Arabidopsis thaliana: one gene and its partner. The protein of the gene in region 1 interacts with the protein of each later gene in a pairwise test. Each region holds a gene or a part of one and is shown on either strand. Other genes may lie near its edges.

Region 1 (5,032 bases):
TAACCCGTGAATTGGACGACAAAGTCAGGTTCAGGCAGAAACCAGTTGAGAGGCCCGGGTCTGGTGCAGGTAGAACCGGAACATATTCAGAAAGAACACATTCCCGGGCTGGCTCAATTGATGAAACCAGGAGTTTTGAATCTACAGAGAGACCCAGATCACGTGGTGCCGTCGATGCCTGGGTTAGACCAGCCAATGAGCAGCGAAGAAACTTTCAAGGAACCAAAGAGCGCGGATTCTTCAGCAACAGGTTAGTCCCGGGGATTAGTATCTAAATGACTAAATCTCTTTAGAAGTCTAGAGATTTATGCAGTTGGTACAATAGATGCATTTAGGCTCATCATATCTTTAAGTTTAACCAAATTTGGTGAATCGATGTTATACTAATTTCTAAATCTCGGGTTTTCGACAGGTCTTCCTCTAGGGAAGGATGGTAAGAAGAAAACGAAGAACAACCAAATGTGGGATATCTTTAACTACTACTACACAGTTCCCAGATTTTGAAGAAGACTTAGAGCAGCGTTAATTTCATTAATAAAATATTCATAAAAAACCCTAATCTTTGTTCTTTTTTTGTTGGTCCATCTTCGGAATCGGAGCTTTGTTGTTTCGTTTTGGTCTTCTCTACTCAGCGAAGGCGTGTCTCAAGAGAATGTGTCTCTTCTTGTTATTATATTGTTAGACATTTTCGAATGTTGATTGTTATATTTTTTGTAGCTATTCCTGGAGTCTCTCATCTCCTTTTGATGTATTTTGTTAACACAATTATTTGCCAGTAACCCTATTTGTATTGGAACAACAAGAAAGACAAAAACGAAATTGTTTAGCATACAACAAGAAGAAAAAAACACAAAACTAATTGCTTACACATACTTCCCTCTATACTTAGGTTTTGGATCTTTGAAGGCTTTGGAATCAGTGTCAATCTGAGAAGAATCAATGGGTTTGAATATAGAGGAGTGAATATTACCATCCTCTAACCACTTAAGATGATTCTCTCTAAACTCTAAATGCATTAAACGAGCAGCTTCTTCAACCTCTTCACTATAAGGCTCTACTTTCACCATCGTTAGCAGAACCCGACTGTACCGCGAGCTCAGGATCTGTTCAGATACAGCTACTAACTTGAAACACGGGTGCTCCGGGAACTTAACCTCGCTGCCAGTCTCATCTCTCAAAACCGGGAAGAAAAAGACGAGCCTGCCTTTCATCACCAACATTCTTGCAGCAAGATGAAGTAGATCATGAACACACTCCACTAGACTATATGCACCAGTGGATGGAATGTGATCTGTTCTTTTGTCATCAGGGACAGTGTAAGGATCCACTGTTCCTCTAAGGATTTTCCTACCACCGGATTTACGTCCACCAGCACGAACCCCGTAAGGTGGATCGCAGATAATTGCATCAAAGATCTGGACCAATAGATACATAAGACATAAACTCAGTGATCTCTCTACTCAATATACCAAAGATAATAATGAAAGAACTGAGATATAGAGCATTACCTCCTTTAGCCCCGATCGCCAAGGAGGAACGTTATTATCCATTCTAAGTAAAGCTACCGGCATTGGTAATCCATACTGCATAAGTATTAACAGATGTAAGAACCAGTGATATCGAAAGAAACATAACAATAGAAGTCACACACTCATACTAACCTGTTTGAAATTGCTCCAAACATTACAATCTGGACCACGTCCATCACGCACTACTCTGATATCGATATCTGCACCCTAATACAACAACTCTTTTATCAGTTCGAGATTCAGAAACCACAAAAGGAAATCAATAAACTAAGGGAAAGGTTGCAAACCATTGTCATTGCGCCAAAGCGTGCAGCAGAAACAAGAATGCTCCCAGTACCAACAAAAGGATCATACACAAGTTTTCCCGAAGTAGCTTTCGCTTGATTAGCCATTAAGAAAGCCATTTCAGCATCCATAGCAGTTGGACCAAGGTAAGTACGAGATTTCAACTGAAATGTAGGTAAAAGCTTCCTATCAGCAAAACCAACCTCCCTCCCAAAAAATATCCTTCTCTGTAGAATAGGTTGAAGTCCATTGTTCTCTTCAGATTCAATCATTTCCATTAGAAAAAAGTTATGATCTGGGTTCTTCAAGTTAACACGACCCTGCAACAACCAAATCACCAAAGAATCAAAACAATGAAGATAAACACCAAAAGAGATTGAAACAAGAAAGTGGAATCAGACCTCAAATGGTATATAAGTAAACGACTGGATTCGATCTTTCTGCTCGTCAAAAGTTAAAGCCTTTCCAAAAGTTTCAACAGAGATTCTAAAAGTTGAATCAGAAGTGAGAAATGGAAGCTTTCGAGAATCAGGGTAGCTTTGAATCGAGTCTTTAAGCTCTTCATAACAAGTTCCTTCACCCCAAAGCTCATACATTCCTTTCACCAATATGCTTCGTTTAGCAATGTTACGAGCGATTTCTTCAGATGAAAGTTGAACGAAATGGAATGGAGTATCGTTATGGTGATTTTCAGGTAGACGCCATTGGAGAGACTCATTCTCTGCAATCTCTTCTCCGAAGAGTTCAGCTAAAGCTTCCACTTCTGGCTTTCTGAAGTCTAATAGCCTGTGATAGAAGACACACAGAAACCACATCTCTCTCTCTCTCTCTTTCCCCTGAAACGAAAACCCTAATTTGACAACAGAACTGAGAAAGAAGACGAAGACGGAGAAGGAAGAAACGAAGAACGACGGCGACTAAAACCTTTTCTTCAAAACCCTTATACATGGGCCCAATAAAGCCCATTTATTCAGGCCCACTTGTACTTAAATGACGAAATTACCCCGTTAGCTGTCGAATACGAGATATATCGCGTCGTTTGCTTTCACTTGTGTCTTGTGTGTTCTGCCAAAGTTTCTCTGCAGCTTCTCCTCTTCTCAGAAATTAGGGTTCCGTCTCAAATTACGAGCAGATCTCGTACTCTCTGGTAATGATTTCTCGTTTCTTATACTTTGTTTATACCGAAGTATCGATTCGCTTGCATGTCTCGTCATCTTTGTACCGATTCTGATTTGAAGTTTCTAGGGTTTACCATCGCGCAATTACGATTTGTAGATATGTTGTTTGCGAGTAGAGATCAATTGAAATTACCTTCGTGGATTTGTCTCGTAAGCGCGAACCATGTTTAGAGAAACGAGTTCAGATTTGCTTCACGCTTAATTATTGTGTTGTAGCTGTGTATATCTTCTGGATCTGCTGCGTGTGTTTGGTTTTTCTGGGAGTCAAGTCATATTAACGTTGTTCAAAAACACTTTTGGCTGTTTGTTTTAGAAGATGTCTGAAGATCCGGAGTACCGTTGCTTCATTGGTGGGCTTGCTTGGACAACGTCTGATCGTGGTCTCAGAGATGCCTTTGAGAAGTATGGTCACCTCGTTGAGGCCAAGGTAAATTTTTTATCTCTCTTTCCTCAGTGGCTCTCTGTTCTTCTGGTTACTGAAACTTAGAAGCTTTGTTCTGTTTCGCCTTCAGATTCAAACACTGAAGCTTTGATATGTTTTGTAATTTGTTTGCTTTCTGCAACTCTGTTTATGGTGAGGCGTGTCTGTTTAGTAACTGACTTCTTTTAGTGGCTATCAGCTCTTCTGATTGCTGAGACATTGAAGCTTTGAGTGATTTGTTCATTTTCTTGCTCTTTGCAAATCTGTTTGTAGTGTTGTCTGTTTGATAATTTTATTTGAAATTTATCTTACTACCTTATTTTTATTGCCATAACTATTATGAGAGATAAACCTTATCTATTGATACACAGGTGGTTCTTGACAAGTTTTCTGGTCGCTCCCGTGGTTTTGGATTCATCACTTTCGATGAGAAAAAAGCTATGGATGAAGCTATTGCAGCAATGAATGGAATGGATTTGGATGGGCGAACTATCACTGTTGATAAAGCTCAGCCTCATCAGGGTGGTGCAGGCAGAGATAATGATGGTGACCGTGGTCGAGACCGTGGATATGATCGTGATCGCAGTCGTCCCTCTGGTGGGCGAGGTGGTGGAGATTGCTTTAAATGTGGCAAGCCTGGACATTTTGCAAGAGAGTGTCCTTCTGAAAGTAGTAGAGATGGTGGTGGAAGGTTCAGCTCAAAGGATGATAGGTACAGTTCGAAGGACGATAGGTATGGTGCAAAAGATGATAGGTATGGTGCAAAGGAGGATAGGTATGGTGCAAAGGATGATAGGTACAGCTCCAAGGATGATAGGTACAGCTCCAAGGATGATAGGTATGGTAGTAGGGATGGTGGAGGTAGTCGCTATGGACCTGATCGCAGTGGTGAACGCGCTGGAGGACGCAGCCGGGATGGTGGCAGCCGTGGAGCTCCAGGAGGTGAGAGGCACAGTCGTGCTCCATATGACCGCCCCAGAGCTGGTGGTTTCCACTAGAATTCTACTCCAAAGGGTATGTATGCATTCTGTTATTTTAACTTTTTCTATTGTATCCCTTCAAAGTTAAGTTCTGGTAAGACTTTTGTTGAAGTCGCTTTATATCTTCTTTTGCAGTTAAAGAAGTTGAAGGTTTCTGCTTTCAGCTCGTGTCAAGTCAAAGTTACGCTTGATGGTCTATTTTCTTCAATGTATTTGGATAGCTCGAGAAAGAAGATGTGTTCTCTATTTTGGCCCTAAACTCAAGAGTCGACTATGTTCCTAAAGTGCTCTCTCTCCTTTTGATATGTTGATCCCTATGGAAACCTTGTGCTTGGTTGGTTTGAGACAATTTGAGATGTGCTACTTTATGCTTATCGTAATGAATGCGTGGGTTATCCCCCAACACCAAATATGCAAAAGCCTCAGGTACGTGATTGATCTCCACGGAATATCCGAGGTCGACATTTGGTAAAATTCAAATGTTGTTATATATGGGGATATGCCGTTTATTGATTCTGGTAAACAATGATGCAGGATGGTCTGATACTCGGGTTTAGCCGTGAAAATTAAAGACTGATCTATAAAACTTGTGATGGGATTGGGAAATATACATTGCTGATTGATACTTGGCTACTGGAA
Region 2 (5,032 bases), on another chromosome or scaffold:
TTAATATACTTCGCTGCTCTTTTGCTACACCATAATACTGTGTTGAAACGTACATAACTACATATATGTGCAAGAAGATGTTATTATAGCCATTAAACTTGATCCTAAAAAAAAATCTTAATTATTTTTCTTTTCATCTTAAATACTAATTTTGTAACTCAATCTTAAATGTGCATATGCTTTTATCAAGTGTTTTTGATAGCTATATTATTTTAATTCTATTTATATGAAAAAAACATATACAGGTGGAAGATTTCTTTGTTGAAATGCAAGAAAAAATAATTTCTATTTGTTGAATAAATGTCTTAAATGGAGAAAGCTCCTTGGATATCATTGCATATGTTAAAATTTTCTACATTTCAACAAAGAATATAGAAAATTTCTATGTTTTTCTTTGTTAGTGTGACAGAATCTACTAAAAAATACATATTTTTATGCCAATGGTTAATATGTTTAACGTTTTGTGTTTTAGTGATATCATACAAAAGTTTCTAGCTAGCTAGATTTTTATGCCAATGGCTCTCTCCATTTTTTTATGATTAAATTTTCAAAAAACTAACAAGAGAACTTTGTGTATTATTTCTTGGTTTTTTATACTCCAATGGTAGGTTCTCTTAAAGGAGGTCTCTTAAAAAAAAAATATTCATATAAATTATTTTATTTCATACAACTTAATATTACAAAGCATAAAATATTAAAATACATTTTTTGGAAATATTATAAAATAGATGTGAAATAAATATTATAATGTTTAGTTAAATATATAATTTTGTCATAAATTATGAGCTAATTAAAACAAAATTAGTAAACCAAAACATTTAGGGGGATGTATTGGATTAGGGATTTTAGAAGATTTTTGTTTTTCTTAAAAACCATATCAAATCTAGTGTTATTCAAAAATTAAAAGGTTTTTGTTCCTCTACTCATCAACAAATTAAAATTCTTATAATTTTTTTTTTTTTGTTTGGCTTGAATCTGCATGACTCACTCAAATTAGAAGCCAATTACTATCATCAAATTAGAGATACATTTAACTATGAAGCGAATTACTATCACCAAATCATGAGCTATATGTGTTCCATAGTTACAGAGTCTATCACCAAAATACATAACGCCAACAAAACAAACTCCTAGTCTTGTACATCTATGAAGCCAATGACTCAAAACATACAACATAACCATCATGAAGCCAATTACTAAGAAAAAGCAACAAAAGAAAGAGATAGATACAGAGAAAAGAGAAAATACTTGAGCAAGTTGGGACTGAGTCAGCTTCTTGTCTTCTCGGGCTTGCATGATGGCTTTCTTCAACTTAGTGGGCACACGATCACCTGATTTTAAAACCATATAAAGGTGTTAACGATAACCAGCATTACGAATCAATCAAACACATATGTAGACTTCCTCTCGCTAATAATGCAAACTGAAGAAAATATTAATAACCCAAGAGAACAGACTAGATTACTAGAATGACTGTACCCAAGCAAAAGCTGGTTCTTATGGGATCCAAATCAACAACACTGATCCCCATGCAACAAACAATAAAACGAAACAGATCAATCAGATAACTTCTTCGTTTTCTAAAGAACCAAATCATCTACACAACTAAATCAATCAAAGCTTAGTCATCTTCCTATCTGACAATGCTCTGATTCGAGGGAACGAAGCAAGGGTTTGGTGGGAGATTGGATTTGGGACAAACACATATAGAATTGGGTCATCGATTTGGTGAAACGAACTCGGAATGGTGAGCAGCGTCGAGAGAGACGACCAATAGAGAGAGTGAGAAAATTTCCCGACGGAATGAAAAATAAAGACACAAGGATTTTTTGTTGGTTAAATATATCAACCAACCACTGACTGCCACGTAGGAGGCTCTCTCCAGAATTATTTGTTTTGATTATTTTTAATCAACAACTTCAAGAGAACCCTATCAAATTGTGATACTCATATCATGACACTGACAAATAAAAGAGACCATGAATATGGTTAGGCCATATGCGATATGGCTTCAAAAACCAAGTTGGGACAATCTTATGTTTAGTCTTAAGTTTGAGTTCATTTTAATTCATTTTAGATACTATTGTTTGATGTAAAATTAAACTTTGATAAATAAATGTACCTAAATTTGGATTGATTTTTTCATAATCATGTTTAAAATTTTTGGTGTTATGCAATTCTGTTTTGTTTTGTTTTTCCATAATAAGCATCTGAACATTTTTACAATATTTATATATTTTAAGAAACTGAAGTTTTAAGATGTATTAATCTACATTAACCTTTTCTATTTTAATGTTAACAAATATTATATATTATAAGTACAATATTCATCAAATACTATAACATATATGTGAAATGTAAATATTTACTACTAATCAAATATCATACTGCATATTTGATTGCAAAAGAGCTAAAAATCATTAATATTGCACATTAAAAATAGTCAATAAACTAAAATCATTAAATACACAAATATATCATAACACAGCAAGTGTGTACCATTATTAATCAATAGATTTACGCTATACAAGTTTTCCGAATTATGTATGTGAAATAAATCACACCAAAAAAATGTATTTGAAATGAAAAAATTCCCCGCCTCTGTAATTTAAGTTTTTTAGATTAAAACAGCTAAACTCTTTTCATTAATTTATTAGAGATACAAGATATTGTTATTTGTTACCAATACCAATATGTAAATTTTTCTGAGTAATTATTATAATTAGTTGAATTTGGCTACCATATGCCAATTTTCAACACATAAAATTCTTTTAAACGTGAAAATTCCAATAATCTAAGAGCCAACAACCACGAAAATTAAACCTCGTTTTAGTCTAAACTCTAAAATGAGAAATAATTAGAAACCAATAAAGGCTCTTAAAGAAAGACTAGGTCAAGTTCAAAGCAAGTTTTGCTTTGTGTGGTGGTCGTCGTCTCTTTCTTTAAACACACTTGTTTTTTTCTTTTTCCTTTGACCACTCCAATATAAACAACCAAGAACCAGTGTTCCTCGTCCATTCACTCTCTCGTAATCACACACACACTCACTCATACGAAGCCAATTGTTCCACACAAATTGGAAGCGACGACAATGGAGCCGAAAGAGAACGGCTCAGAATTGGGTCAGAAGATCATTGACGGACCAACGAATCCAATGGTCACACCTTTACTCAATGATCTTTATCAATTCACCATGGCTTATGCTTATTGGAAAGCTGGCAAACACAACGAACGATCCGTGTACAACACACAATCTCTTCTCATGCTCTGCTTTTGATGTTGAATTCTGAATGGTTTTGTATATTTGAAATTGTTTTTGTTTCCTTTTCAGTTTCGATCTGTATTTTCGTAAGAACCCATTTGGTGGTGAGTACACTGTGTTTGCTGGATTAGAAGAGTGTGTTAAGTTCTTAGCCAATTTCAAATTGACTGATGAAGAAATCGATTTCGTTCAAGAGTGTTTGCCTGGATCTGAGGTATATCAAAAATCTGTTTGTTTTTAGATTGTTATTGATTAAAGTTTGGATTTTTAAATCAGGGTTTTATGTTTGTGATTCAAATTAGGAAGCTTTTTGTGATTATCTTAGAGGGCTTGATTGTTCTGATGTTGAAGTTTATGCAATTCCGGAAGGATCAGTTGTTTTTCCTAAAGTACCTCTCATGAGAGTTGAAGGACCTGTTGGTGTGAGTCTCTTTGTCTCTTTCATTTGTGAAGATTGTTTAAGGAATAGTTTTCTTGAATGAATGATTCATCAGTTGTTGTAAAATCTCCATAGGTTGTTCAATTGTTGGAAACTCCATTCCTCAATCTTGTCAATTTTGCATCTTTGGTAGCTACTAACGCAGCTAGGCATCGCTTTGTTGCCGGAAAATCTAAGAGTCTACTCGAGTTTGGTGCTCGAAGGGCTCAGGTTTCCTATAAATCTCTCTCTTGTTTTTTGATATATTGCCTTTTGTGTTGTTCTTTCCATCTCTGTCTGATGTTATTAGTGTTGGAATCTTAGGGTCCGGATGGTGCAATAAGCGCATCAAAATATTGCTACCTTGGAGGTTTTGATGCAACAAGGCAAGTCTTGCTTTTTGTTTTTGTTGATCTGGAAGTAGGTGAAAGGGAATGTGGAAATGATGTGTTTTGTGTTGTTGGGTATTTTGCCAATGACAGTAATGTAGCAGCTGGAAAACTTTTTGGGATTCCTCTTCGTGGAACACACTCTCATGCTTATGTTAGCTCATTCATGGTCAGTTCACTTCAGCCAAAAGTTTCAATTTTTATGTGGAGGTTACATACTTGAGTTAGCTAGTAGAGACGATAACACAAAGTTTCGTGAAAATAAGATATTCTTGTCAATGCCTTTGTTGCTATAACTTTATTAGCCATGGTTCTGATGCACACTTAATATCCTCGCTCATAACAATATCACAAAAGCATTTTCGATATAATTAGTTAACTTTGGATTGCAGAGTACTGATGAGATTGTTGACAAAGTACTTCGTAGTGCTGATGGGAAAACCACGTGCGAGGATTTTGTTAGTCATGTTCAGACATGGTTAAAAAAGATTCAGGTTTGTTTATTGCACATTTTGCTCTTCCTCTTCCTGTTTTCTAGTCTCAGGACCATTGTTCTATTTCTGCTTCAACCCTTTGCTTGAATCTTTGTCACAGTTTTTCTTATGTTTTGTTTCTTTGTGGATGACAGTATTCACCATCTCTAAGTGGCATTTTCTCTGAGACAAATCAAAGCGAGCTAGCAGCTTTCACCTCATATGCACTGGCATTCCCCAAAACTTTTCTTGCCCTCGTAGATACATACGATGTGAGCATTAAACACCATAGTAGATAGCTCATTTGAGCCTTAGGATTTCTAATAAACTCTTATATTAGTGTTTTGCTGACTGTTTTACAGGTGATGAAGAGTGGAATCCCTAACTTCTGTGCAGTTGCTTTAGCACTCAATGACTTTGGGTGTGTAAGAATCTCTTATCAATACCCGATCGTCTGACTTGACTTTGTACTTCTTCAGGATCATATGGA

The links. Proteins that work in one complex are often made in the same cells at the same time.
Region 2: the proteins of ATRZ-1A (region 1) and NAPRT2 interact in a two-hybrid assay, tested with the Arabidopsis thaliana proteins (one large-scale study listed by BioGRID).

The regions. Positions count from the first base shown.
Region 1 is NC_003074.8:9,668,645-9,673,676, forward strand, and holds the start of ATRZ-1A (RNA-binding (RRM/RBD/RNP motifs) family protein with retrovirus zinc finger-like domain-containing protein), read left to right. Parts: upstream 1-2,872; 5' UTR 2,873-2,961; intron 2,962-3,305; 5' UTR 3,306-3,308; coding exon 3,309-3,419; intron 3,420-3,784; coding exon 3,785-4,411; 3' UTR 4,412-4,427; intron 4,428-4,528; 3' UTR 4,529-4,819; intron 4,820-4,927; 3' UTR 4,928-5,032. Other genes in the region: EIF4B1 (eukaryotic translation initiation factor 4B1), read left to right, coding at 1-250, 413-437; TRM11 (tRNA modification 11 protein), read right to left, coding at 864-1,415, 1,509-1,583, 1,662-1,736, 1,817-2,134, 2,216-2,629.
Region 2 is NC_003071.7:9,968,728-9,973,759, forward strand, and holds the start of NAPRT2 (nicotinate phosphoribosyltransferase 2), read left to right. Parts: upstream 1-2,875; 5' UTR 2,876-3,091; coding exon 3,092-3,240; intron 3,241-3,331; coding exon 3,332-3,476; intron 3,477-3,564; coding exon 3,565-3,684; intron 3,685-3,776; coding exon 3,777-3,911; intron 3,912-4,004; coding exon 4,005-4,066; intron 4,067-4,162; coding exon 4,163-4,238; intron 4,239-4,461; coding exon 4,462-4,563; intron 4,564-4,697; coding exon 4,698-4,814; intron 4,815-4,904; coding exon 4,905-4,963; intron 4,964-5,032. UniProt on the Arabidopsis thaliana protein: Catalyzes the first step in the biosynthesis of NAD from nicotinic acid, the ATP-dependent synthesis of beta-nicotinate D-ribonucleotide from nicotinate and 5-phospho-D-ribose 1-phosphate.